Linked DNA regions of Stegostoma tigrinum. The protein of the gene in region 1 interacts with the protein of each later gene in a pairwise test. Links are inferred from orthologs where the notes say so. Each region holds a gene or a part of one and is shown in the gene's direction. Other genes may lie near its edges.

What was found.
Region 2: the proteins of golga2 (region 1) and msrb3 interact in binary tests that used the Homo sapiens proteins (3 or more experiments, as listed by UniProt). The two-hybrid records come from large-scale screens. The link is inferred for Stegostoma tigrinum from reciprocal best matches to the Homo sapiens genes GOLGA2 and MSRB3.
Region 3: the proteins of golga2 (region 1) and coiled-coil domain-containing protein 150-like interact in binary tests that used the Homo sapiens proteins (3 or more experiments, as listed by UniProt). The two-hybrid records come from large-scale screens. The link is inferred for Stegostoma tigrinum from reciprocal best matches to the Homo sapiens genes GOLGA2 and CCDC150.
Region 4: the proteins of golga2 (region 1) and rbm17 interact in binary tests that used the Homo sapiens proteins (3 or more experiments, as listed by UniProt). The two-hybrid records come from large-scale screens. The link is inferred for Stegostoma tigrinum from reciprocal best matches to the Homo sapiens genes GOLGA2 and RBM17.

Annotation. Positions count from the first base shown.
Region 1 is NC_081382.1:36,886,023-36,893,344, forward strand, and holds the start of golga2 (golgin subfamily A member 2), read left to right. Parts: upstream 1-4,300; 5' UTR 4,301-4,367; coding exon 4,368-4,415; intron 4,416-7,322. UniProt on the Homo sapiens protein: Peripheral membrane component of the cis-Golgi stack that acts as a membrane skeleton that maintains the structure of the Golgi apparatus, and as a vesicle thether that facilitates vesicle fusion to the Golgi membrane.
Region 2 is NC_081371.1:39,159,303-39,166,718, reverse strand, and holds the start of msrb3 (methionine-R-sulfoxide reductase B3), read left to right. Parts: upstream 1-4,415; 5' UTR 4,416-4,510; coding exon 4,511-4,634; intron 4,635-7,416. UniProt on the Homo sapiens protein: Catalyzes the reduction of free and protein-bound methionine sulfoxide to methionine. Isoform 2 is essential for hearing.
Region 3 is NC_081367.1:33,931,532-33,939,081, forward strand, and holds the start of coiled-coil domain-containing protein 150-like, read left to right. Parts: upstream 1-4,534; 5' UTR 4,535-4,746; intron 4,747-5,036; 5' UTR 5,037-5,163; intron 5,164-7,550.
Region 4 is NC_081378.1:5,885,734-5,893,197, forward strand, and holds the start of rbm17 (splicing factor 45), read left to right. Parts: upstream 1-4,464; 5' UTR 4,465-4,558; intron 4,559-4,578; exon of another isoform or gene 4,579-4,707; intron 4,708-7,464. Other genes in the region: echdc3 (enoyl-CoA hydratase domain-containing protein 3, mitochondrial), read right to left, coding at 1,009-1,130, 2,196-2,377. UniProt on the Homo sapiens protein: Splice factor that binds to the single-stranded 3'AG at the exon/intron border and promotes its utilization in the second catalytic step. Involved in the regulation of alternative splicing and the utilization of cryptic splice sites.

The DNA of each region.
Region 1 (7,322 bases):
TCACTCTCCGCACTTTTTGAAACAAATTTAATACCTGTTCATCTATGAGTGATTAATGTGGCAATTAAATTAATTTTCTTCAGGGTAGGCAGTAATATCTTTTTCGTTTGCTCAAGAAAACATGTAATTTAGCACCTTAATTTTAATGTGGTTAATCACATTTCAATTCAAGTATGTTAACTACATACTAAAAACAGTTGCTGCACCAGCCCAAAGGGTGTTAAAAAATATTTGTTGGTTCCCCCTCCTCACCTGGTCACAACATATCCTCCTGGGATTGTGAAATTTACATAGAAGTAGCCTGTTACCATTACATATGCGAGCATTGGAAAATGTTAACATGAATTGAAAGGGTAGTTGAAGCAGAAACACTCATAACACTGAGGAAATATTTACATGTGCATCTGCGATGCCAAGGCTTGCAAAACTATGGGAAAAATGTTTGAAAATGGGATTAGAATAGTTAAGGTCCTGACCCAAAATGTCAACTTTCCTGTTCCTCCGATGCTGCCCGGCCTGCTGTATTCACGCAGCTCCACACCGTGTTATCTCTGACTCCAGCATCAACAGTTCTTACTATCTCTCGAATAGTTAGGAGGTTGTTTTTGACTGGCACAGACTTGATGGGCTAAAGGGCCTTTTTCTGTGCTGTAGACCTCTAGTTTGCTAATATTACTTAATTGATATCTCAGCTAAAAATAAGAGTGATATGAAAGTTTGAGGTACTAGTGACCTACGCTTGTGATTAAATCATTTAGGCTTTGTAATGTTACCTTGACATTGCCAGACCTACAGGTAAACACATCCTTATGAATCTTGCTGCTCAGTGATGCAATGGGTTTTGAATTAGTTGGGAGCAATCCTATGCCTTTAACCATTACATCAAATCTAGAATTTTGTTAGTTTGAAATTATTCATGGAAACGTGAACATTTATGAGTTTATGAATTTACGAGTTATCCTCATTCTATCCTTACACTGGTCTTACCATGAAGCTGTTTCCGTTTGAGCTCGATAATTTGGGATAGGGTGGTAGAGAAAATAACAGGTCCAGGATAGAGGGACAGAATGTGAAGGTCAGAGCCAGGCCATTCAGGAGTGAAGTTTGAAAACAGGCCTTCATGCAAAGGGTTGTACGTGTGTAGAACACACTCTGACAATAACAGTTTGTACCAAGTAGCCCAAATAATACATTTGAACCAGGAGTAAAGGGTTTTTGTTCGAAGGGGTATTACGGGACAGACCAAGGCAGGTAAATGGAGTTACTGTAGCTGAGAAATGCAGAGAGAAATCAACATTAACATTAGAGATCTACCAAATGTCTAAAACCAGTGGGGAAGAAGCTGTTCTTCAATCTGTTCATATGTATATCCAAATGTATATATCTTTTGCCTGATAGAAGAGGGTAGAAGAGAGCATAACCAGGGTCGGAGTGGTCTTTGATTTTGTTGGATGCTGGAAGTCAGAAAGAAAAACAGATGTTGCTGGAGAAACTCAACATGGCAGCATCTGTAGAGAGAAAGCAGAGTTAATGTATCAGGTCCAGTGACCCTTCTTCAGAACTTTTCCCACCCCTCTGTCCTTTTACCGGAACTTGACCTGTTTCTCAAGAACTATCAATGTGATACCCTCTAAACTGACCATACGCTGTGTTCCCAGATCCAAACCTGACTTGGGAATCAAGCCTGCTGACAAGGCGGATGTTTCTGTTGACTGGCATACTGATCTCTACATTGCAGAGGTTGAGTGCCAGCTCTCAAACATCTCGTCCTGTCTCCCCTGGACCATGACCCTACCGTGGAACATCAGGCCGTTATGTCCACCATCATCAAGAAGGTTATCATTGAGTACAGAAGGATCTTGACCTGATGGGCCAATGGGTCAAAGAGTGGTAGATGAAGTTCAATTTAGATCAATGTGAGGTGTTGTATTTTGGAAAAGCAAATCAGGGCTGGACTTATACACTGAATGGTAATATCCTGGGGAGTGCTGCTGAACAAAGAGACCTTGGAGTGCAGGTTCGTAGTTCCTTGAAAACAGAGTGGCAGATAGACAAGATAGTGAAGAAGGCATTTGGTATGCTTGCCTATTTTGGCCCATGCATTGAGTATAGGAGTTGGGAGGTCGTGTTGTGGCTGTACAGGACATTGATTCAGCCACTTCTGGAATATTGCCTGCAATTCTGGTCTCCCTCCTACAGCAAGGGTGTTGTGAAACTGGAAAGGGTTCAGTAAACATTGACGAGGATGTTGCCAGGGTGGGAGAGTTTGAGCTGTAGGGAGAGGCTGAATAGGCTGGAGCTATTTTCCCTGGAGGGTCGGAGGCTGAGGGGTGACCTTATAGAGGTTTATAAAATCACAAGGGGCATGGATAGGGTGAATAGCTAAGGTCTTTTCCCCAGAATGGGGGAGTCCAAAACTACAGGGGCGTAGGTTTAAGCTGAGAGTGAAAAGATTTGAAAGGGACGAAAGGCCAACTTTTCCACATAGAGAGTGGTGTGTGTGTGTGGGATGAGCTGCCAGAGGAAGTGGTGTATACTCATACAATAACAACATTTAAAAGACATCCGGATGGGTATAGGAATAAGAAGGGTTTTGAGCGGCCTGGGACAAATGTTGGCAAATGGGACGAGATTAATTTAGTATATCTGGTCAGCATGGGCGCTTTGGACTGAAGGGTCTGTTTCCGTGTGGTATATCTCTATGACTATTCTAATTTGATCCGACAATTCCATTCCACTGCCTCCAAACTCATTAATCTCCAACTTCACACAGCCTACTTCTACCTCCATCCCAAAATTCACACACAAGACTGCACAGGCAAACACATTATTTTTGCCTGCTCCAGTTCCATGGGACTCATTTCTTCCTGTCTGAAAACAATTTTTTTTCCTCCCCTTGTCAACTCCCTTCTTATTTATACCTGTGAATCTTCTGATGTTTTACATTTTTAATCAGAATTTCCAGATTACCAGCTCCAGCCACCTCCTCTTCAACATGGCCTAGTAATCCTTTACACATTTCTGAAAAAGGGTCAAAAATAGAAATTGCTGGGAAAGCTCAGCAGCTCTGGCAGCATTTGTGGAGAGAGAGCAGAATTAATGTTTCAGGTCCAGTGACCCTTCTCCAGTGACAGGCAGAGTTTCTCCAGTTTTTTTTCTGTTTTTCTTTCTGATTTCCAGCAACCAACAAAGCCAAACGATCACTTGACCTGAAATGTTCATTCTGATCTTTCTCCACAATGCTGCCTGATTGGCTGAGCTTTCCCAGCAATTTCTATTTTTGACCCTTTTTCAGAAATGTGTAAAGGATTACCAGGCCATGTTGAAGAAGAGGTGGCTGGAGCTGGTAAACTGGCAATTTTGATTAAAAATGTGAAACATCAGAAGATTCACAACTGCGACAAAGCGCCATGGCTACCTGCAAACAATGTCGAGCTATGTGTCATCAATCACACTCAGAAATAAACAAACTCGTTTGCATCAATCAATCTGTCAGTAATAAAGTAATTAATATACTCCGGGGATCAATTGCAGTCAGTAATAAACTCAGACTCTGGCGCATCCATCTCATTTACCAGTAAACACATCATAGAAGTAGAAATGCTGGAGAAACTCAGCAGGTCTGGCAGCTTCTGTGGAGATAACATTGAATTAACATTTCGGGTCTAGTGACCCTTCTTCAGAATAAAAACCTAAGGAACTTCAGATGTTGTAAATCAGAGACAAAAACAGAAATTGCTGGGAAAGCTCAGCAGCTCAAGCAGCATCTGTGGAGAGAGAGCAGAATGAACATTTCAGGTCGAGTGACCATTTGGCTACATCGGTTGCTGGAAATCAGAAAGAAAAACAGAAATGACTGGAGAAACTCTGCTTGTCACTGGACTGGAAACATTCATTCTGCTCTCTCTCCACAGATACTGCCAGACCTGCTGAGTTTCTCCAGCAATTCTACTTGAGTCATGAGTTTATTAGTAAATGAGATGGATGCCCCAGAGTCTTAGTTTGTTAATTACTTTATTACTGACTGCAATTGATCCCCGGAGTTTGTTAATTACTTTATTACTGACTGCAATTGATCCCCGGAGTTTATTAATTACTTTATTACTGACTGATTGATTGATGCCCCCGAGTTTGTTTATTTGAGTGTGATTGATGACACAGAGCTCGACATTGTTTCTAGGTTGCCATGGCACTTTGTCGCCGTTGCGATGATGTCACAAAACCAGCCCACTCGTTGCGTTGTCGCGTCACAAAGATCGTCGGTACGTGTCGCCGAAGCCCCGCCCCTCGGCTGTCGGGGCCTGGTGCAGGCCGGGATACTGGAGGAGTCCGCTAGCTGCTTGGTGACGTGTGCGGGCCCGGATACCATGGCCGACGGGAGCAGACGGGCTAAGCTGGCGTCTGCCAAGAAGAAGGTGAGGGACAGGGTGAGCGGCAGACTGCGGAGGCTAAGGGGGAAGAAGCCAAAGCTCCGTGATCGACTGTCGGAACTGTTTTCCTTTTCCCCTCTCGGGGTGACCGGCTGATCTACCGCCTGTCCGCTGGGGGAGACGGTTCGGTGCGAGTTCGGGGCCCCCACGGCCTATGCGCCCCGAAGGGAGGGTTAGCAAGTGACTCTGGGGCCAGGGGCTGCGGCCGCCGCTTTCTCCGGTCCCCCCGGGAGGTGGTATCGCGGTGTCAGGCGGGGGTGGGGTGGGGCGGGGAGAACAACCCCGTTCCCCGCGACCCCTTCTCCCACCGCAACCCTGCACTCCCGGTTCGCTCCACATCCTTCTCCCCTCCGGCTCCCCATCCACATCCTTCTCCCCTCCGGCTCCCCATCCACATCCTTCTCGCACCCCCCCCCCCCCCCCCGTCCGGCTCCCCACTTCTCCTATTTATTCCCCCCCTCCGGCTCCACACTTCTCCTATTCTTCCCCCCTTCCCCCCCCCCCCCCGGCTCGCCACTTCTCCTATTCTTTCTCTCCCCCACCCCCCCCCCCCCACCACCCTCCGGCTCGCCACTTCTCTTATTTCCCCCTTCTCGCACCCCTACTATTCCTAGCCCTGGCTCACCCCCATCCCTCTCCCACATACCCTGTTCTTCTCCCTTCTCCTAGTACTCTGTCCACCCATCCCTGAGCTGCAGTGCCAGTTTGGGGGGAGAATTTACTCGCTGTGGCTTAACTTGTTCTCCACCACCACCCTCTCCCAAATTCTCTAGGCACAGTGTTAAAGGTGGACGAGAATAAAGAATCCTACTGTGTCCACCACTACCTTGTTCCCATGCCTCTGGGGCTTGGCATCAGCACAGGGATGTGGGAGAATTCTACTTCTCCTCTCTTCTCTCCTTCCCTCCCCCCCCCCCCCCCCCCCCCTTAACCTACCTCCACCCTAGCGTGCAGTGCCCGCCTGGGAGGTTTTGTGGTAGGGAGTCGAGAAAGAATCCTGCTCTGACCACAGTGTCAGTCTGTGAGGGTGATCTCTATTCTGTCTTTGACCCTGGGCACAATCCTAACCTGTCGGAGATAATCTCTACCCTGTCCCCCACCCTGGACACAATGTCAGCTACTGGGGATGATCCCTACCCTATCCTTGCACCGTCAGGCCCACAAGGTACAAGTCTGCGTGTGAAAGGGGTAAAGAGAGGTGGAATTGTAGCCCGTTACCAACTCTCTTTCCTGCACACTGCTAGCCTGACTGACATCCCAGCCTGCCTTATCACCCCAAGGTACTATGCCAGACTGGTTGGGGAGAAATCCTACTTGCTTAACCCTAATATGTGTGTAATGTCTGTCTGAGCGGAGTCTATCATATGCCCCACTCTCCTGACCACTCCATACACTTCCCCAAATTTCCTTTTGCATAAGTCACCACTTTTAGTACAGATGCAAGAATGATGCTCCAAACTTGATGAAAAACCTCTGCTCAATTGTTTACAGATATCCCAGTGATTGTCCTCCTGGGAGGAGTAGGCCTCTGTGGATCAAATTGGCTCAAAGATTACCCCCCATGATAAGGGGAATCTTTGAAGTTCATTTTCTTTGGCATTAACTCTCAGCCAGCAAATGTGCCTTACTTTCTGGCTGCTGTTGATGATTAAATTGACTGACTCGTCCAGCTCTCTTGATGGAGGTGTCCTCCCTGTTTTAACTGTATAACCATTCAAGTTAGTCCTGCTATGCAGACAGGTAGTGGGAATATTCCTAATGCTCTTGACAAATAAGCTGTTGGTTTTAATTAAAGCCAAGGAGTAACTGTGTTCTTAACTAGCTGTTACCAATCTATGCCAACATTACATGGTCACGTATATTTCATACAACACAAACAGTTAACTACATGGATTGATTTTGGACATTGCATGAGTTGTTTGCACATCTGGCATGTGCAACCGACCGAGGTATGGATTAGTTGTATGCAATATTAAATAAACAACTGACGTTCTCTAAAAGGAAATGCATTGCTTCTTATCTTCTTTATTGTGTCAGATTGTTGGCTGTAAATTTCGCGTATAAAATAATAATAAGGAAAACCACCTTCAGATTCCCTAAGGTTTGCATTTGTATAGCATATTTCATTATCTCAGTGCCCCAAATGGCTTTACAGCCGCTGAAACATTTTTGAAATATGGCACGCAGTTTTACATACAGCAAGCTCCCACAAATGGAGATATGATGATGACTGACGTCTCATTATCTGTTGATTGAAGGCTTTGAGGATATGATGGGTGCTGTGCAAGTGTTGATTTCATATTGAAAGGGTTTTTTTCTGTGAGCTACTGCATTTTTGTCAGCAGGAGTATCTCAGTTAGGGCTGGTTCCCTCTTGCTTTTGTACGTGTGATCGGAACAGTACTTTTGGTATCTATTTAAGTTGCTAATAGGAAATTCAGCAACTTTTGCCAAAAAATTCTCTGATTCCTTGAACTTCTGGCACATCTGTTCTTTAATTCATTTCTTTTATCTTCTGGCTTTAAATCAGGTCACTACAATAGTAGCTGTATTGACTGGAACGTTATGAACTCTTGATGGATTGGATGACAAAAATGATATTGAAATAATCTGTTTTCATGATAGCTGGCGCAGACATGTCAGGACACTTATTTCTTTCCGTGTTGCAGATCTTAATGGGTTATTTTGGAAGTTGGTCATGTTTTGGATTTGTCAGTTAATCACATAATTGGTCAAAGTGCTGCTCCCTCCTTTTACGATTCAGAAGTTCAATTTATCAAAAGTTATCAGCTTGCCAGAAGTAGTGTGGAAGTGAGTATCAAGGTGGTAAAGTCTTGGTACTTTGTATCAAATGCCCTGGAATTGAAATTCTCAATTGTAATTATTCAATACA
Region 2 (7,416 bases), on another chromosome or scaffold:
ACAGACAGGAAGGAAACAACTGACCCTCAGAATACATGAACATCAGCTAGAAACAAAACGACACAATGAACTTTCCTTAGCATCAGAGTACTCAGACAACGAAGGCCATCAGCTTAACTGAGACAACGTAACCATAGTAGCCCAAGCCAGAGATAGACATGCACGGGAACTCCTAGAAGCATGGTTCTAAACCCATAATACAACCAACAAACGTACAGAACTGGGCTTCATATATGAACCCATACAGAAAAAAACCAGAAATGACACTACTCACCATAGCAGACCAGACAGTATAAATTCCAATCAGTGTCGAACAACATTGCTTCATTGGAGGCCGCACTGGTGATATTACTTATCATGGTGACAAAACATCTGAATGAAGGGTCTAGGCCCAAAACATCAATTCTCTTACTCCTCTGATGCTGCTTGGCCTTCTGTGTTCATCCAGCTGTACACCTTGTTATCTATGAACGAAAACAAGCTAGCTTGGCAAACAAGTCAAAAACCTCACCCACAACCCAAGTTACAAATCTTTGCTGAAACTTTAGATTGATAATTGTGTGGTCCTGCCATGGAAGCAAGTAAGAGAAGGTCAAATTTGGTCATTCTACGTCTAACACCTTTATTTGTAATGCTATTGGAAACATTTCTTCTAAATGGTCTAAATGTATTGTGAGATAAAGTATTTATTTGAATGTAACTGTTCTTGCTCTTTATGTTCCCTCACTTTTTTATAGTGTCTCTAGAAGCATCTCATGGCAAGGTAAACGATGCCAAAATGTGATAACAAGAACGTTGTGGCAGGCTGTAATGTGATGGAAGATCGTCCCATATTCTGCTCCATGGACAAATGTGTCAAAGTTGGATGTGGCAACTAATAGAACAACTGAGCTTTTAGGTTGCATGCCACATGTTGTTGCAAAGCTGCAAAAGAAGTCAATGCCTATGCCAAGACTGCCCAAAATCCTAAAGGTAGCCTGATTGCATTGTACCTACAAGAGTTCACAGTCTGTAGAGGGACTATTTAGAATCTTTATTTGATGAGATTGTGAGGCATTTTGTTCACAACATGACATGCCGGGCCACTACTGAAGGTATACTACATCAGCTTTCTATGCATATTAATTTAAAGGCATCAGAATATGCAGATGTGTGCTACAAATATCAGTGTCAAAGAATTTAATAAGAGGGAAGTGTGCTGGTGATCAACAATAGATAATCATGAGATGCTTATATTTAACAATAAAGTGCCGTTAAAATTCTATCATTGTTGTACTTGTAAATTTTTAGTGTAGAAGAGGGAAAACAAATGTGAGACTGGGAAGAATTCTTTTATTGACAGCTGGAAGAAAGATTTCAGTCCTTTGGCAGGCAGGTAGTGGTGGCCCTGGAGAGAGTTGGGTGAGCTTTATTCAGTAGCAGTCAAGAAAGCTTGAGATCGCTCAGCCAGCTACCAATAAACCACCCTGCAAAAGTAAGATCCATGGTACAGCTTCATCTCAAGCGAAATGGTCTTTTGTGGGGAGTGTGGTCAAACAGAGAGACCTAGCAGTATAGGCACATAGTTCCTTGAAAGTGGCATCACAGGTAGACTGGAGGTGAAGAAGGCAATTGGCACGCTTGCTTTCATTGGTCAGAGCATTGAGCATGGAAATTGGGGCATCATATTACAGCTGTAAAGACATTGGTAAGGCCACATTTGGAGAGCTGCATACAATTCTGGTCATCCCGTTACAGGAAACATATTGTTAAACTGGAAAATCATGCAAAAAAGACTTACAAAGATGTTACTGACATTGGAAGGCTTGAGTTATAAGAGGTTTAATATAGAGATTAATAAAATCATGCAGGACATAGATAAGGTGAATAGCCAAGGTTTTATCCCAAGGATAGGGGCGTCCAAAACTAAAAGGTAAGGTTTAATGTGAGTGGGAAAAAATATAAAAGGGACCTAAGAGGCAATTTTTTCATGCAGTTATGTGGGTAACACAGGAAAGTGGAATTGAGTATTATCAGATCAACCATTACCACACTGAATGGTGGAGCACTCTCGATAGGCTGAGTAGCCTATTTCTGTTCTTACATCCTGTGGTTTTATAGATATAGACATAGAATCCCTACAGCTTGGAAGCAGGCCATTTGGCCCATCAATGCCATGTCAAACCTCTGAAGAGCTTCCCATCCAGACGCACCCCTACCCTATCCTTGTAACCCTGAACTTCCCATGGCTAATCAAATTATTGATTGATAAGAGGTTGCAGATCTGAACAAGACTACAGAGTATGGAAAGATGAGACTGTGGTGAGATTCAAACACAAAGATGAGATTTGAAAATTTGAGGCCAATGCCTGCCACCAAGCACATGGATAATAGTAGTATGGGCCTGAACATCTCTGGACACTATGGGCAATTTAATATGGCAAATCAATCTAATCTGCATATCTTTGGACTGTGGGAGGGAACCGGAGCACCCAGAGGAAATTCACACAGACATAGGACGAATGTGCAAACTCCACACAAATGGTGGCCTGAAGGTGGAAATGAATCCAGATCCATGGTACTGTGAGGACCTGCTCAAAGTTTCCTCGTACGCATCTGATTAGTAAATTCCTCAAACAGGACTGCTTCCAATGCAAGTATATCCCTTCTTACACAAAATGCCCAAACTGTATACCGTACTTTAGGTGTGGTCTTACCAATGCACTGTATATTGGTAGCAAGACTTCCTTACTGATATACATAATTTCTAGTGCAATAAAGGGCAACATTCTCTTTGTCATACTAGTTACTTGCAGTACCTGCATACAGACCTTTTGTATTTACTCTATAAAGATAGAACAGTTCCTCTGTACCACAGCATTCTGGAGGCACTCTTTATTTGAATAATTCTTTGCATTTCTGTTCTTACTTCCTAATGGCAAACCTTACATTTTCCAACTGCCAAATACACCATGTGCCAAATTTTTGCCCACATATTTATCTAAATTGCTCTGCAGCATGTTTACATCCTTCTCACAACTTTCTTTCTAACCATCTTCATATTGTCACAAACTAAACTCATAACGAAAAATATGGAGTGAGATGCCGAGCAGTACAGAGGTCTAAGCAGGGAACATCAAAATGTGGGACATTAAGTGCTGATGACTTCAGAGAAAGAAATTCAAAGTGCACAAGAAGCAAGATTCAGAGAATCACAGAGTTTCATAAGCGAAATTTAACAGACAAGAGTTGCAGAGCCTTCATCCAAGTCACTTTAATGTGGATCGGGAATAATTGAAGGCCCAGCTCTGATCCTTGCTTATTAGTTTTTAGTTTGCAAATCTGAATGGTAATCTATTCATTCCAATTCTATACTTTCTGTTGGTTCAGAAGTCCTCTATCAATGCTAAAATATTGTCCCTGACAATGCATGCTGGTATCTTGTGTAACAGCCTTTCAAGTGGGACTCTATCGAATGCCTTTTGAAATCTAAATATACTATGTATATTGGTTCCTCTATATTCAACCTGATTATTATATTTTCAAAGAACTTCAATAATTAATTGGTCAAATGTAATGGGCTCACCTAAAAATTTTATTGCCTGTAGCCCATCTTCTGCAAAGTCCCATACAACCATTATTCATGTTCTTGCTGACATGCATTGGCCTCAATTTTTTAAAATCTCATCTTTGTGTTCGAATCCCACCACAGTATCACCTTTCCATACTCTGTAGCCTTACTCAGCTCTGCAACCCCTTATCAATCAAAAATTTGTTGAACACAACTTATCAAATTCTGTGACTCTCCAAATCTTGCCTCTTGTGCACTTCCAACTTCTTTCTCCCAAGTCATCAGCTGTGACTGCCCCAAACTCTGATGTTTCCTGCCTAGGCCTCTGCACTGCTCTGCATCTCTCTCCATATTTTTGCTGCCACTTAAAACCTCTCTGATCAATTTTTTGTTCCTGTACCTCCTTCCTTGGCCAATTGTCTGTTGCGATCTTGCGAAGCATTGTTAAAGGTGCTATAGCAAGAAATTGCTTTACAAAATTTTAAAGTATATTTAAAATTGTAATACATCCCCGCAAAAATACATTGCCTCAACATCCACTACCACATCTTCAAACTTGAACTGTGACACCAGGCTATTTCAGGAATTGAATATTTGTCAAAAAGAAGTTCAATTTTTCCCCCTTTATTTGAGAGGTTTAACGTGTTGCAGTTGATAAGAAGACACGTACCACTGCAGGAATTTTGAAATAAAACCAAATTTTAATCATTTAAAAAGAAACAAAAATATTAGGTAAGGTACTGAACATTTCCTTTTTAATTCACTAACCTTCTGCGCTGCGTTAAAAGAAACTACCTAATTCTTATGCTAGAGCCTCTCTTTAGCCAAACATATCCACATTTTTTTTTGTCTAACACATCAGCAAAAACATTGGCAAATAAGAGGGCCATTGACGGTGGCCTCTGTCCAATGGTCATATTTGGAGTTGTAGGGTAGAGGAATTTCCCACAGTGCTTCTTGATGTATTATCTAACCAACAGAGAAGCTGAGAGGAAGAAGTCAATGAGTCGAAGTGGAGTCGACCGTCCTCAACTACTTGTCATTATTCTGCTGCTTTTGAGCTTGTTTGCAGTCCAGGCGCCAGGTAAGGGGCCCCGAGAAAAACACTCGAAACAAACTGGTGTGTGCTGTGGACGATTGTTAACTGCGGAGCTCGGGGAGTTAAGAAGATAAACAAACGCGTCGACTTTTTAAAAAGAGTGTGAGCAAATGCCCAGCCAGCTTCATTTTCTTTCTTCTCTTCCCGGTTATCTGAAAAACAGTGTTCTAGTTGATGATTTTCAGAGCTGGGTGATTGGTATTTGTTTCTGATTTTTCTTGTGCTCCGATAACCACTTCCTTCGCAGCTTGAGCAGTTCGAACAGGCCAAATGGTGGAGCTACACGCTCTCTCATCCTATGGCTCCCGTTGACATTCGCTCGGATGCTAGCAGTGCGGAGGATTAACTGCGCAACACATTGGGAGAGATACAGAAGCTCGCTTTTTGTTGTGGCCGCAGCAATGAGAACTTACATAAATAAACATGGCAGAAACTTGAACTGATTGTCAGAGGCAGGAATTAGCAGAGCCTCTTTTTCTTTTCCTTTTAGCTGAATGCCAGTATGAAAACTTCGTGAACCCAAAAGCTGCTAAAGTTTTATTTGCACTTCAGCTTCCGAACACTGCAGCCCCGTGCTGGACTTTGTAACATGATTGTTGTATCCACCGAATTATTGGTAAATACTCCACCATCCCCCGCCCCCCCCCCCCCGGCATTAGAATTAAATTAAACCAAATTACACGTGCACAAGCCAAATCCAGGTTAAAATTGGAATTTACAAGACATGTGCAGATCTGACTCGGCCTGTTCAAAATCCATCAGCTGTATTTCAGTTGATATGCTGCTATTTAAATATGGATTTCATGGAAAAAAGGCTAAATGGGAAATACAGTCCTTAGTCCAATTAAATTGTGACCATTAGAATAAAAGTGTCTTCTGCTTTTGATTATACAAACTTTTATTCTGTTGCAATTCTTATAATGCAATTGAAAACGCATTTTGAGAAGGTATTTCACATTATATATTCATTTCAATGTCCGATATTAAAAATATTTTATGATTAACAACCTTTATCTCTTCCAGTTTTAATTTATTCTGATAATCAATGAAAGATGTTGATAATGAAATAATTACTGTATTTGTTTCTCCCTGTTAATTTTATCTTTATGAAAGCAGAGTTGGAATATGATTCCATGAGTAGTGATGATCTTCCAAAATCTTGCTCAGTTGTCCATACTCTGATGCCCTACACCTCAGCTAAGTGGCCTGTAGTCAACATCGGCAGGCTGTTCATTTAGTACGTGAGGCATCAGAACATGTCTTTGAATCTATAAATATTCATGTTTAATGATAGCAATTTGAAAAGGAGTTCTTGGTGACAGACATGCTACAGTAAATGAAATGACACTCTTGACAGCTCTTTAAAGATAAAAACACCAACAAAAACCTTCTAAAGCCTGTGTAGAAGTAGGAAAAGGGAAAAAAAGTTCATTTTTAAAGCACTGAAAATATGACGTGCTTAAACTATCTTCCATAAATGTTCTTCTAAATTTGATGAAATTTTAAGGATAGCTTTACAAAGTGAAGCTTCTGACGTGGACCATGACTGTACAGGTCGTAGAATTGGCTTGTGCCTTGCATTTGGGCAACATGCTGGGGGCATATGTTTGAAAATTACGTCTTTAATTACATCTGTTATACCCAATACTATACATCTATTATACATTGGATCAATGAACACTATATTGCGGGATAGATTGAATTTCAGTTTGTCACTAGGGTATCAATGAAATGTAATGATGAATGAGTGAAATTTTCATATTATGTACACTTTAGCCAAAAATGTTCAGCGTTACAATTATAGCATTTGTCCTTCCAAAGTTTAAGTTGTGTGTGTGTATAGAGAATGGCTTGAGCTGTAAAACTCTTGGGTGAAATACTGCTGATAATAGTAATATGGACAGTTTGTGGGCTATAAATTAAGAATATTGGTTAAGAGGTCTTTGAGTTTCTGAGCAATTTTTATTTCCCTCCATTGCGGATTGGCATAATCGCTACCTGTGTTAATGCCAGAGTTTATGAAAGATGTGTGTGATAAGTTGAGAAAGGTGCAGTGATATTTCGTATATTGCAAACAACATTATGATTGTTTACCAATCCTGCTGCATATTTGCCCCTTGCCAGGGTCTATCATTTCTTAGAGTTTTTTAAGCAAACTTGAACTCTCTTGTACGTTTTTTTTATCCCTTTTGAATGAAAAATTAATGCATATTTTCAAGCTTCCATAATTTGTCCAACATGTGTAAATATTCCTTTCTGTGCAGAATTATATTAGGTATTGTGAAGAATTTCTTATAGTTAACAGATGACCAGAACAAGATATGTAAATTCACAATATTCTCTAGTTATAATCTTAAAAACAGGCTGCGGAAGAACCTATGTTATTTCAGTATTTTAGCTTGAGTGACCCTTTGTCAAACAACTTAACAATTATGGACTGCTGCCTCTTGTCCTGCATCTAAATTATAATATTGCAATTCCCTAGTATAAGTGCATGTAAAGAATCTTACAGGTGATGGTCTTGTGCTGCTCTGGTAGCTCTGAGCTAGAACGTTTGGCTCAAGACTCACCTCAGGATATGATGGACACAAGTTGATTTTTTAGGAGTATTTCAATAGTGGTTTGAAGAAAATGGGTGTTGTTTATGCATATCAATGTAAATGCTTTTCATTGCAGAATCTGTGACTCATTGGCAGGAGACCTGAAAGAGCAGAACCAAGGGAGAGCAAAACACAAAAAGTATTGAAGGAGGAGGGGGGAATGCAGG
Region 3 (7,550 bases), on another chromosome or scaffold:
GGCTCTCTTCTCCTGCTGGAACATAGAAGAAAAATGTTAGTGGCTACACAAGAGCAAATGCCATACCAAAATGCCTTAAATGCTTGCTACTAAATCTGTCCAATTGCATGCATGAGGAACTTGGTGACTCTGGGGCCATCTTGTAGGATCTGACACTGTCAGGCTCACACCCTATGTCCGAACTTCAGCTATTTATTTCCATGGAAAATCTGTCACCTCTTCCCATTGTCATCAACATGCTAGGCTCTCCCTCTCTAGTAAGCACACCCTCACACATGTCTAATTTCTGCCTCCAAAGAGAATTGTGATGTTGGGTACTCACCCTTGCTGAGCATAGTATATTGTTAACAGACTTATGGTTCTGCATGAACATTCTCCAGACATTTCCATGGTTGCTTACCTTCTCTACTGCCTCCACCCAAAATGTTTAGCTAGGTGGGGACATCTCCAACTTCTGTTCCTGTATTGCCCAAGCAGCCCAAAAAAGAACAGGCATGGAATCATCACTGAACCAATGGACATCTAGAATCTTGCTTCTGCCATGCTGATGAATATTCTTCTCTTAAGACTTTCTGCTGAGGAAGCTGGGGGCGACCATTTGTAACTGGAAGCTGCAGAGATCACTGGTAGCTGGACACTGGAGGGGTAACTGGTAACGGGACACTGGAAGTATCATTAATAGCTGAATGTTAGAGGGGATCATGAAAAGCTGGATATTTGCAGGCCTATTTTCAGAGGCTGGTATCTGTAAGGATTGCTAAGGCTAATGTTTGGTGAACTGTAAGCCACATTAGCCAGTGCAAGATTTCTACTGGAATGAGAGTCAGAACTGGAGGGCCTCTCTCATCCATTTCTGGTTTTGCCTTCCTCTTCATGTAAAATCCTCACCAGCAATACAATTTCGAATTTCTTCCAATTTAATATGTTCTATTTACTACCCATGTTGCAGTCTCTGCTTTATTGGGAAGACCAAACACATACTGATCACTTTGTGGACCAACCTAGTTCAGTTTGCATGAACCCAAGTTTCAGTCATTTGTCATTTTAATTTTCCATTTTATTCCCAATCTCACTCTGACCAATAAAGCTAAACGTAAAGCATTGTACTTCATCTTTTTACAAAGACATTTTCCATCATGGCTCAGTAGGTAGTATTCTTACCTCTAAATCATAAGGTTCTGGGATCAATTCCAACTCCAAAGACTTGAGCTCAAGCATCAAAGCTAGCAGTTCACTATAGGATGAAACATTAAACCAAGAGTTGGGTGGCACAATCGTTAGCACTGCTGCCTTACAGCACCAGGGACCTGGGTTCGATTGCACCCTTGGGTGATTGCCTGTGTGGAGTTTACATGTTCTCCCTGGGGTTCCTCTATGTGCTCCGGTTTTCCCCCACAGTCCTAAGATGTGCAGGTGAGGTGCTAAATTGTCCATGGTGTTCAGGGATGTGTAGATTGGGTGTGTTATAGGGGAATGTGCCTGGGTGGGATCCTCTGAGGGTCAATACGGACTTGTTGGGCTGAAGAGCTTGTTTCCATTCTGTAGGGATTCTATCCCATAGTATTATTTTGAGGAAGCAGAACAGGTGGGTTATCCTCGGAGTAGTGGCCAACATATATTCTTCAATATGGAGCACACAGTTGCACAATGATTAGCACTTCTCCCTCACAGCCCTAGGGACTTTAGTTTGATTCCAGTCTTGGGTGACTGTGTGGAGTTTTCATGTTCTTCTTGATTCTTGTGAGTTTTCACTGGGTATTCCCACAATCCGAAGATGTGCAGGTTAAATGGATTGGCCAGGATAAATTGCCTCTATGTGTCCAGGGATATGCAGTCTAGGTGGATTAGCAATGGTAATTGTGGGGTTACAGGGATCTAGCAGCAACGATGAAGAAAAAAAGTTAACGTTTTCAGTTTAATGACCTTTCATCGGAATTGGTCACTGATACAGATGTAATGGCGTTAAGAGAAACTGGAGATGCAGAAGTGAGAAGAACAAAAGGGGTCTGTGATAGGGTGGAGGTTGGATTTGATTAAATGATGAAATGAATAATAGTGTAACATCAAAGAGAGTAGGAATTACATGGGCATACAACTCACTCTGCTGCCTGTGTTTCTACTCATGATGTAGGTTGTTGTCAATATACTCTAAGTACAGGAAACTATAAGGCCTACTTGGTCTGGCTAGTGTGTTAGGGGAGAACAATTTCCTGGCGTAACTAGAAGAATCTTATACCTTATACAATATAGTTTAGTGTATAACTAGTCATAGATTACATCGATATTACATTGTTAAAGACTTTGAGGAAGATCCAGCTGATTAGGTCTCAATCCTTTGAAATTATAAGATGTTCTACCCACAAGTCATATGACATCACTGTGGATGATAGAGTCATACAGTCATACCACACAGAAACACACCCTTTGTTCCTACCAATCCATGCTGATCCATAATTCCAAAATAAAGTCGTCCCACCTGCCTGCGCTTGGCCCATATCTTACCAAAAATTTCTTGTTCATGTAGTTATGCAAATGTTTTTTAAACGTTGTAGCTGCGCCTACATTCACCACTTCATCTGGGAGTTCATTCCACACACAAACCACTCTCTATGTAAAAAAAATCACCCTCATGTCTTTTTTAAATATTTCTCCTCTCACCTTAAAAATACGTTGCCTAGCCTTGAAATCCCCCACCCTAGGGGAAAAAGACACCTGCCATTCACCTTATCTACACCCTTCATGATTTTATAAACTTCCATAAGGTCACCCCTCAATCTCTTACACTCCAATGAAAAAAAAACTCATAGCCTATCACTTCCAACAACTTAGCTACCACCAAAGTCAGACTCAGAGGTCTTTAGTTCCAAGGCTTTTCTTTGCAACCCTTCTTAAACAAAGACACAACATTAGCCACTCTCCAGTCATCCAGCACCTCACCTATAGTGATAGATAATAGAAACATTTCTGCAATCGCAATTTCCCCATAACTCAAATCCTTCATTCCCAGCAAAATTCTGGCAAATCTCCTTTGAACCCTCACCAACTTAAAAATTTCTTTCCTATAACAGGGTGGCCAGACTGGAAAAAGTAGTCCAGAAGAGGCCTCAACAATGTCCTGTACAACGTCAACATAACATCCCAATTCCTATACTCAAAGGCCTGAGCAATGAAGGCAAGCATGTTAAATGCCTTCTTAACCACCCTATCTTTATGTGATGCAAATTTCAAAGAACTATGCACCTGAAACCCTAGGTCTCTCTGTTCTGCAACACTACCCAAGGTGCTATTTTTAATTGTATAAGTCCTGTTTTTGTTTGTTTTACTAAATTGCAATGCATTGCATTTATCCAAACTAAACTCCATTTGTCACACTTCAGCCTTTGACCCGTTTGATCAAGGTCTCTTTGTACTCAGAGATAACCTTTTTCACTGTTCATTATATCTCTAGTCTTGGTGTCATCTGCAAACTTACTAACCATGTTTTCTATATTCTCATCTAAATCATTTATATAGATGGCAAATAAAGTGGGCCCAGCAGCGATCCCTGTGGAGCACTGCTGATCACAGGCTGCCAATCCAAAAAAAACCCTCCATCATCATTCTCTGTCTCCTGTCATTAAGCTAAATATGTATACAATTGGCAAGTTCACCCTGAATGCCACATGATATAAATTTACTAATTAGGTTAACATGTGGAACCTTACCAAAGGCTTTCCAAAAGTTTAACTAAACAATGTCTACCACTTTTGCCCTCATCAATCTTGGTTACTTCCTCAAAAAACTTGATTAAGTTTGTAAGATACCAGTTCCCTTGCACAAAATCATGCTGGCTGTCCCTAATTACTCCTTGCCTCTCCACGTGCATAGAAATCCTAGCTTTCAGAATCACTTCCAACAACTTAGCCACCACCAAAATCAGACTCAGAGGTCTTTTGTTCCAAGGCTTTTCCTTGCAACCCTTCTTAAACAAGGGCACAACATTAGCCACTCTCCAGTCATCCAGCACCTCACCTATAGGTGATAGATAATAGAAACATTTCTGCAATCGCAATTTCCTCCCCAACCTGCCACAAAGTCCTTAGATACACTTGATCAGGTGCTGGAGATTTATCCATCTTTATATTTTCTAAGACCTTCAGCATTTCCACAAATGATGACAAAACCTCTGTCATTCTCCTCACATATTTTCTGAGGGTTGAACGTTAAGAGATTGCACGGTAACCCGAGGTGAGGTTGAGCAGAGAGCTGTGCAGCAGGAATAGACCTGGGGCAACACAGCAGTTCAGGCAGCATCAGAGGAGCAGGAAGGTTGACGTTTCGGGTCGGGACTCTTCGTCAGGAATCTTTCCTACTCCTCTGCTGCCTGGCCTGCTGTGCTGTCTCTGACTCTAGCATCCGCAGTTCTTGCTACGTCTGTGTGAGTGATAGACCCCGGGGGTCAGCTGTCTCGGGTGGCGGTCTTTCGGTTGGAGTCGTTGGGTGTTTCCAGGGTAACCAGAGGCAGGGCCTAGCGCCGCCTTCTGTCGGCACACCAAGTCGTTGCTTTGCTTTCGCTCTCGCAGAGTGGGCAGTTTGGACAAGGCGCTGCACTCCCTTTTAACGAGGTTTTTTTAAAAAAATCACTGTGCACTATGTTTTACTTTCTAAAACTCGGATCGAAGACTACCGCATCCTGCCACTGTTGAATTAGTTTGAAATCTGCACTGTTTACGAACCCTCGGACGAGGTTGATCAGCAGTGAGCTAAGTAATGTCATGAGGCCTTTGCTGATGTACCCCCTCTCACGGTCTGCCTTGCCTGCTCTACTGTGTCACTTTTTGCTTTCCGGCCCTTGAGCTGCAACGCACTTAATGTGCGTGCAGTGTGTGTAGATGAAACGGTTTCCCGTCTTCAGCGACGGTGCTCGAACAATACTGTGGCTGCTAGGGGCTTTGGTTTGAATATGCATTATACTGTTACTTACAAGGGTCTCGGTGAAGTGTAACTAACAATCGGAGCCAGTCCCTTTTATTTATATGTGTGGTATTTTTTGACAGAGTGAATTGGAGGCTGGAGCTTTGCTTACGTAACGATAACCCTTTTGCTGTGAGAGGTGTGCACCGGAAGCTACAGTGGGAATTCTAAGTGAGAAATTGGTCGGAAGGTGAAACGTTAACTGAACGGGTCAGTTACCTGCACTGATACTGTCCAGACTTTTTCCCCGTCGACTTTGTTAGTTGTTAGTGTCGCCACATTTTTTTCAACGCGCAGGAAAAAATCAATTCTAAGAATACAGTTGAATGGAAGAGCATTGTAATTTTGTAATTTATCCAAATGTTCACATTTTAAAGGTAGAACACAGCGATTTAATGTTTTGAAACTGGTCTGAATCCTGTTTCTGCCGAATAGATTGTTATAATTCACACTTAATTATGTGTTAGGACGTGTCATAGAATCTCTACAGTGTGGAAGCTGGCCATTTGGCCCATCGAGATTACACCATCCCTCTGCATAACATCTCACCCAGACCACGCCCTTACCCTGTGTCTGTAACCTTGCATTTCCCATGGCTAACCCACCTCATTTACACACCCCTGGACATTATGGGCAATTTAACATAGCCAGTCCACTGAACCTGCACATCTTTGGAGTGCAGGAGGAAACCAGAGCACCTGGAGGATACCCATGCAGACACAGGGAGAATGTACAAACTTCACACAGTCACCCAAGGGTGGAATTGAATCCTGGTCATAGCCACTATGAGGCAGCAGTGTTAACCACTGTGCCACTGTGCCTCCATGTGTGTTTAGAACCATCTCATATCAGACTGTTTGAGTCAGCTTGAGAGGCAGTTGGAGTCACTGGGGAGCATACAGAAGACACAGTATGTGGTGGTTAGTAGATTTAGAGAGGTGGTCACACCACAGGTCCAGTCAGATAGATGGGTGACTGTCAGGAGAGATAGGAAGGTAGTGCTGGAGTCTCCTGTGATTATTCCTCGTTCAAACAGATATACTGTTTTTGGCTACTATTAGGGAGATACTCTCTCAGAAGAAAATAGAAGAGGCATCCAGATCATGGAAACCAAGAATGACCCTTCTGTTAAGCAGGGTTTCTCAAGATTCAAAAGGGTAATTGCTATAGGGGCACTGACAGGAGATTCTGTGCCCATAGAAAACAGAATGGTATGTTGCTTCCCTGGTGCCAGGGTCATGGACGTCTCAAAGGGCTTGCAGCATACTGTAAAAGGGGAGTGTGAAAAGCCAGAAGCTGTTGTACACATTGGTAAGAACAACTTAGTTAAGGAAAAGGTTGAGACTTTGCAGAGTGAACACAGGAAGTTAGGTAGGAGGTTAAAAATCATAACCTCAAAGGCAGTAATCTCTGAATTACTTTGGGTGCCACATGCTAGGGAGAGTAGGAATTTGAAGATAGGGCAGCTAAATCAATGGCTGAGGAGCTAGTGCAAGGGACAGGGATTCAGATTTTTGGTTCATTGAGACCTCTTCTGGGGCAGAAGAGACCTGTTCAGAAGGGGTAGTTTTCACCTGAACTGAAGGGAGACTAATATCCTGGTGGGGAGGTTTGTTAGTTCTATTTGGGAACCTTTTAAACTAGTGGCTGGGTGGAGATCCTAAGTAGAATGTGACAATAGAGACATAGATGTGGAAGGTTCTGAAGCTGAAGAGAGCAAGTTAATTAGAAAAGGAAGGCAAAAACAAGCCAGAGAGATAGGTAAATCTGAAGAGTTAAGCTGCATTTATTTCAATGCAAGGGTCAACAGGTAAGGCAGTTGAACTCAGGACATGTATGGAAACATGGGAGTGGGACATCATAGCTGTTATAGAAACATGGCTGAGGGAGGGACAGGACTGGCAAGTCTGTACCAGGGCTGAGATGCTATAGGAAGGATAGAAAGGAAGGCAAGAGAGGAGGGGTAATGGCATTTTTGATTAGGAAAAACATCACTGCTGCACTTAGCTTAGAGTGATCGTCCAGTGAAGCTCTGTGCGTGGAACTCATAAATAAGAAGGGGATGATCACCTTGACAGGATTGTACTGTACTCCCTCCAGTTGTCAGTTGGGAGATGAGAAGCAAATATGTAGAGATATCTCAGATATATGTAAGAATAATAGGGTTATAATCATAGGAGATTTTAACTCTCCAAACATAGATTGGGACTGCCATAGTGTTAAGGCCTAGTTGGTGAAGAATTTGTTAAATGCATTTAAGAAAATGTTCTTTATTAACATGTGGATGTGCTAAATAGAGAAGGAACAAAACGTGACCTTGTTTGGGGAAATAAGGCAGGCAAGTGAATTAAATGTTAGTGGGGGAGCACTTTGGGACCAGTGATCATAATTCTATTAGTTTTAAAGTAGCTGTGGAAAAGGGTAGACCTTTTATAAAAGTTAAAGTTCTTAATTGAAGTAAAACACATTTTGACATATAAGTCAAGAACTTTCAAAAGTTGTTTGGCGTAGTATGTTCACAGGTAAAGGGACGACTGGCAAGTGGGAGGCTTTCAAAAGTGTGATAATGAGAGTTCAGAGACTTTATGTTCCTGTTA
Region 4 (7,464 bases), on another chromosome or scaffold:
GACATTCTTGTTAGGCAGATGAATCGGGGGTTATTGGGGATAGTTGGGAATGTGGAACAGATCAGCCACGGTCTTATTGAACAGTAGTGTCGGATTTAGGGTCTGAATGGCCTACATATGCTCCTAAGTTGTATGTTACTCATAATTCAGTTCCCCGCGTGATTTTTACCCTGTTTCTTCTCTCTGGAGAAGCTAACTTTTTCCTGGGATATGGTTTTGCTGCAGCTATACTCCCCCCTCCCGCTGGTGGTTGTCCCAGGTTTCCTGTGTGAGGTTTGACAGTTGTCTCCTTTGCATGTTCCAGCCCACAGCCTGCTCCCGAGCTTACCTAAACCCTGAATCAATGCAGAAGACAGAAACCAGGAGCTGGAGTGAGCACTCACTAATTTGCCACTATATCTCCCAGAGTGATTTATAACGCCTCAATTAGTGCACTACATGGGATCATCTAAGCCAGTAGAATCGTAGAATCGCAGAGGCCTTCGGCCCATAGAATCTGTACTGTCAAAAATATCACCAGTACAACACTAGCCCCACAGCCCTGAATGTGACGACATTTCCAGTGCTCATCCAAGTACTTTTTAAAGGTACAAAGAGAGCATTCATAGTATCCCTACTGCGTGCAAGCAGGCCACTCAGCCCATCAAGTCCACACCAACCCTCCAAACAGTATCTCACCCAGATCTACCCTGCATTTCCCATGTAGAATCTATGTCTACTGTATGCTATGACCAATTTCCCATGGCCGATCCACCTAGCCCGCACATCTTTGGACTGTGGGAGGAAACCGGAGCACCCGGAGGAAACCCACGCAGACACGGGGAGAATGTGCAAACTCCGCACAGACAGTCGCCCGAGGCTGGAATCGAACCCGGGTCCCTGGCGCTGTGAGGCAGCAGTGCTAAGCACTGAGCCACCGTGCCATCAGTCTCATTTCCCTAGCTTCGTTTTACTTTACCCCATGATCTAAGTAGGTGTGTTAAATGTTAAAACCCATGCTGGAATTACCTGATATGACAATAACGCGCAGGTCATTGCTTTCTGCTTCGTGGAGGAGGTTGGTGCGCAGAGATTCCAACATGGCCAGCGACAGAGCATTCCTCTTCTGTGGGTTATTCAGAACGATGGACCTAGACAGGAGACAAACTATTTTCTAGAGACACACTGACAATGGAGGCAGCCCAGAGATACCAGGAAGGGAGGGACTGCTTTATGAGGCGACGTTCAGTAGGTTGGGCCTGTACTCACTGAAATTGAGAGAGGAGAAAGGTGACACCCCATTGAAACATACAGGTTTCTTCAGGGGCTCAACAGGGTAAATGCTTAGAGGATGTTTTCCATCATGGGAGAGTCTGGGTTCACACAGTATCCCCTCAGAATGAACGGTTGGCAATTTGAGACTGAGATGAAGAGGAATTTCTTCTCTCAAAGGGTTGTGAGTCTTTGGGACTTCTTGCCAACATGAAGCTGCGAGGATGGAGTCCTTGTGTATATTCAAGGCCGAATAAGTTCTTGGCCAGTTGAGGAGTCAAAGTTTATGGGGAAAATGCAGGAGAGTGAATGTGAGGAGTGTTGGATCGGCCATGATCTTATTGAATGGAGCAGGCTTGAGGGGCCGAACGGCCTATTCCTGTTTGTTACGCCCTTGGCAAATCTTAAATATCTCTGTTTTGTTGTCCATTTAGGAAAGCAGCCTCTTTGACTTTGCATTTGAACACCTCCCACAAACTACTGCTCAAGTCTTTCGTAACTGGATTGGCCCCCTGTGTTTGTTATTCCCTGAACGGGGGCATTTCCGGTGAGGGCAGCATTTATTGCCCCTCCCTAACTGCCCACGGGGTAGCTGAGGGCCAACCACATAACAGTGTGCCAGGAGCCACAGGATGGCAGTTTCCGTCCCCGAAGGATATTGGTGAACCAGATGGGATCAGCAGCGACGAGTTCAGGGTCAGATGTTTTCTTTTTGTACTGTTCCACCATCCTCCCCGGGCGGGATTCGAACCTGAGTCCCCAGGGCATTCGCAGAGGTCTCTGGATTGACAGTCCAGCGATGATACCACCGGGCCACTGCTTTCCCAGCTCTGCAGAAGGCTAGTATTGCCAACCCCATCCCAATTTACCCGAAGAAGAACAGTGCCCTGAACCTGTGTAATTTCTAGTGGGTAGCGTCTGGGTCAGTCCATGCCCCCACCAACCTGATCCCATCCTTCTGAGTTCTGACAGTCAGTTTATCACATTGAGCTCTTTCACTGGCCCAGCGGCCTGGTGTATAAATAACCGATACATTTCCCGTGGTGCCTGCCCCCTGGAAAAGCCGGGTGGAGGGGGCTCTTCTCATTTTCCTGAAACATCTCGCAGCAGCGGCCAAGCTCCCCATGGTGCCGCCACCCCTGTTCAGACAACACAACAGTCCCAACACAACCTAAAACTCACACTTAAAGTTCCACCTACTTTACAAGTCCGGGCCAGGATTTTGCTCGCTTTTTCTCATTTTTGCTTTGGGGATGCAGCGGCCCAGTGGTGTTATCGTGAGACCATTCATTTGGAGACCCAGGTAATTGTTCTGGGGGCCTGGCTTCAAAATTTGTCAAGGCACACAGTGGAATTTGAATTCAATAAAAATCTGGAATTAAATGTCTAACGACGACCATGAATCCATCGCTGATCGTCAGAAAAGTCCATCTGGTTCACTAATGGAAACTGCTCTGGCCTATATGTGACTCCAGACCCACAGCAATGTGGTTGGCTTTTAACTGCCCTCTGGGCAATTAGGGATGGGCAATAAATGCTGCCTAGCCAGTGATGCCCACATCCTGTGAATGAGTATAAATAAATCATAAATGCTGTTTTGTTGTAAATTATAATTTTCCCAATTTGACCATGTTTCATTTTCTATTTGATCTGCTTTGATAATACCTCGCAAAATAATACGGCTCATTTGTTTCAATGGACTTTCACTGCCCTTTTCACCTCGAAATATCTCACTTCAAACACTTCCCCAAACATTGATACTAATTTATTTTTAAAATTTTAGAGTCCCGAGGGGGAGGTTTTGTAGTACAGCAGGTAAAGCTCTGAGTTCAGGTCCCGATGGCCATGGAAGGGTACCGTAATACAGTCCACAGGGTGATTATCAGTCTGCAACATGGACTAATCTGATGGAGGTCCATGATTATCAATACCCTCCTTAGGCATGATACTTCACAGAAATCATAGAAACCCTACAGTGCGGAAGCAGGCCATTTGGTCCATCAAGTTCAGACTGCCCCTCTAAAGGGCATCCCACCCAAACCACCTTATAACCCTGCATTTTCCATGGCTAACTGGCCTAGCCTGCCTATCTTCAGGTTGTGTGAGGAAACCCATACAGACACAGGGAGAATGTGCAAGCCTTCACACAGGCAGTTGCCTGAGGGTACAATTGAAACCCAGGTCCCTGGCGCTGTGAGGCAGCAGTGCTAACCGCTGAGCTGCCATGCTGCACTTGAAAAGTGAGTGAGACAGTCGGTGTGTCCGGAGTCACTCATTGATCAACTCCCAAAGAACAGTTGACCCATTGTGGCTCAGTGACAGCGCTTCTGTTTCTGTGTCAAAGTTGGGGCTTAACCACAATCAACTGGCCTCTGGTGCAGTACTGAGGGAAAGCTGCACTGTCGCAGTTCGTGAGGTGCTCGCGGCCTGTTTTTTTACCCCTCTCAGGTGATTGTACAAGATCCCATGGCATCATTTAAAAGAACAGCAGGAGAGATTTTCCTGTCGTTCAAACCAACATTGATCCCTAAAGCTGTGCAACTAAATCAGACTTTCCTGTCTATCTATGGGACCTTGCTAGTGTCCAATACAACAATGACTGCCCTTTCCTTCATAAAAAATGCATAACTGGCTGTAAACTGTTTCAGGACCTTCTGCTGCGGCTCACAAAAACATTCCTTATCAAGTTGCAAGACTTTCAAGTGAAGAACACAAAGTTGGCACAGTTTCCATTCTTGCATGTTACCTGTCAAGGGTGTGAGGAGAAAGCAGGAGTTTGGCAGTAGGTAAATGATGAAGAAGCAGGTAATTCTCACAGCCTTTAAAAATCACTTGGGCCATGGGCGAGTTGGTGACGGGGAAAACAAAACATTCAGCTGTATGTAAGAGCAATTCTGGTTAAGTTTTTTAAAAAAGAAGTACGTGAATGACCACTTGAAATGGTACTCCATTCAAACGGTGGATCTAATGCTCAAGGACAGATGCGAGGCTGAAGGCAGACTTGACCGTGATGCTTGCTGCAGTCGAATTGCCAGGTGCACTGACTGACCAAGTGGATAGATGGACTGTCTCCAGCGTGTGTGCGTGTAATTGAGGTGGGGGTGTGGTGGATGTGTAAATATATTTTAAAGGGATAAAATTTTAAAAAACTGTAACCCGAGGGTGAACACAGTGGGTTTGCGGGCGGACAGCTGCAGCTTTCGGTTTATTGTTGTGTGCGGCGGGGGAGGGACCGTTTCTGCGGCGGGGCCGCTCCGTGTTTCCCCCCGGAGCCGCGATGTGGATGGACCCTGGGCCCAAGCTTCCGGTGAGCAGCCGCCGCGCTCAGGGCCTCGCGGGGCGAAAGGACAACAACAACCCGCACCCCCCCCCCCCCCCAACCCCCACACCTTACCCCCCTCCCCCTCGGGGGGACAGAGACAGAGACAGAGACAGAGGGGGCGGCAGCAGGAACCGGTGAGGGGTAGCGCGCGGCCCGGAGGGAGGGAGGGGGGAGCTGCTGAAATTGACGCCGAGGATTTAGGCCTCAGCGCGGCCCCGCGTCAGACTGGAGCCCCCCCCCCCCCACCTCCCGCCATCGTCACCTTAATATTTATCTTCAAATTACGCCCCCCCCGGTCTCGATTCCCCCCCCCGATTCCCCCTCACCCCCCCCCCGATTCCCCCTCACCCCCCCCCCGATTCCCCCTCATCCCCCCCCCCCGATTCCCCCTCATCCCCCCCCCCGATTCCCCCTCATCCCCCCCCCCGATTCCCCCTCATCCCCCCCCCGATTCCCCCTCATCCCCCCCCCCGATTCCCCCTCATCCCCCCCCCCCCGATTCCCCCTCATCCCCCCCCCCCCGATTCCCCCTCATCCCCCCCCCCCGATTCCCCCTCATCCCCCCCCCCCCGATTCCCCCTCATCCCCCCCCCCCCGATTCCCCCTCATCCCCCCCCCCCCGATTCCCCCTCATCCCCCCCCCCCGATTCCCCCTCATCCCCCCCCCCCCGATTCCCCCTCATCCCCCCCCCCCGATTCCCCCTCATCCCCCCCCCCCCGATTCCCCCTCATCCCCCCCCCCCGATTCCCCCTCATCCCCCCCCCCCGATTCCCCCTCATCCCCCCCCCCCGATTCCCCCTCATCCCCCCCCCCCGATTCCCCCTCATCCCCCCCCCCGATTCCCCCTCATCCCCCCCCCCCCCGATTCCCCCTCATCCCCCCCCCCCCGATTCCCCCTCATCCCCCCCCCCCCCGATTCCCCCTCATCCCCCCCCCCCCCGATTCCCCCTCATCCCCCCCCCCCCGATTCCCCCTCATCCCCCCCCCCCCGATTCCCCCTCATCCCCCCCCCCCCCCGATTCCCCCTCATCCCCCCCCCCCCGATTCCCCCTCATCCCCCCCCCCCGATTCCCCCTCATCCCCCCCCCCCCGATTCCCCCTCATCCCCCCCCCCCCGATTCCCCCTCATCCCCCCCCCCCCTCATCCCCCTCATCCCCCCCCCCCCGATTCCCCCTCATCCCCCCCCCCCCCGATTCCCCCTCATCCCCCCCCCCCCCGATTCCCCCTCATCCCCCCCCCCCCCGATTCCCCCTCATCCCCCCCCCCCCGATTCCCCCTCATCCCCCCCCCCCCCCGATTCCCCCTCATCCCCCCCCCCCCCCCGATTCCCCCTCATCCCCCCCCCCCCCGATTCCCCCTCATCCCCCCCCCCCCCGATTCCCCCTCATCCCCCCCCCCCCGATTCCCCCTCATCCCCCCCCCCGACTCCCCCTCATCCCCCCCCCCGATTCCCCCTCATCCCCCCCCCCGATTCCCCCTCATTGTACCCCCTTGCCTCTCATTGATCCCTCTTGCCTCTCATTGATTCTCCCCTCCCCCTCCCTCCATTGATTTCTCCCGCCTTTATCGATACCCCCCATCATCCCTAGTCCCTCCCTCGTTTGCTTTTTGATTGATTGGTTTTATTGTCAGGTGTCATGAAATATTGTGAGAAGCTTTGTTTACGAGCGGTAAAGGAAGCTCACAGCAAGCAAAGGGGGTACAGATGAAAAAGACTTGGAGACATACAGGTTACATTGTTGGAGGGTAGAGTCCATTCATCACTTTCACAGTTCTTTTCTAAAGCCACATTTCATATCCTACTCCTCCTACAGAAAAAAGCTGTTTCTGAACCTGCTTGTGTGTGTGTTGAGGTTTCTGTATCTTCTGCCTCATGGAAGAGGTTGTAGGAGATCATTACCAGGTTGACCCTTCTTGACTGTTGCATCTGTGTGGGAAATCCAGGACAGGTTGTTGGTTATCATCTCTCCGACAAACTTGATGCTGTTCCCTCTCTCAACCTCAGTTCTGTTGATGTAGGTGGGGGCGTGTTCTCCTTTCTTTCTGAAGTCCATAATCACTTCTTTAGTCTTGTCGATATTGAGAGACAGATTATTTTCATTGCACCTCTTCACCAAGTCCTCCATTTCCCTTCCGTACTTTGACCCATTGTTGTTAGATATCTGTCCCACTATGGTGGTGTTGTCAGCGAACTTATAGATAGCGTTCGTTCCGAATTTGGCAACACAGTGTAGGTGTACAGGGAGTACAGTAGGGGGCTGAAGATGGATCCTTGGTGGGGGTGGGCAGGGTTCCAGTGTTGAGTGTTATTGCGAAGGAGTTAGCCATCCTCACTGATTGCAGCCTATGGGTCAGAAAGCTGAGGACCCAGTTGCAGAGGAGCCAAGATCAATGTCATGGAATTTTGAGATCAGCCTGGAGGGGATAATGATGTTGAAGGCAGACCTGTGGTCCATGAGCAGGAGTCTGACATAGGTGTCTTTGATGTCTAAATGCTCCAGGAAGAGTGCAGGGCTAGGGCATCTTCTGAGGACCTGTTATGTTGTGGGCAGACTGTAGGGGCTTGAGGCACCACATTGACTCTTTGGATGACATTTTAAATCCCTATCAGTCTACTTCCTGTTCCTCAAACTCTTCAATATTGCCAGCCTCACTAACTCTTTTTCTTCTGTGTGGCTGCTTTGAATATAAAACAATTTACCCACTGGGAGATCACTGAACCTTTCTTTATATATTTAGTCTTAAATTGCACAACCTGTTAGCCACATCTGAAAATGATTGAAATTAAATCAACTGATACTTGTAGTTTTTATCACTTTGAATACAGTTATTAAGTAGTGTAGAGAATTATCTGTCTGGGTGATGTGGTTTTAGAAGGGCCTTGAATCC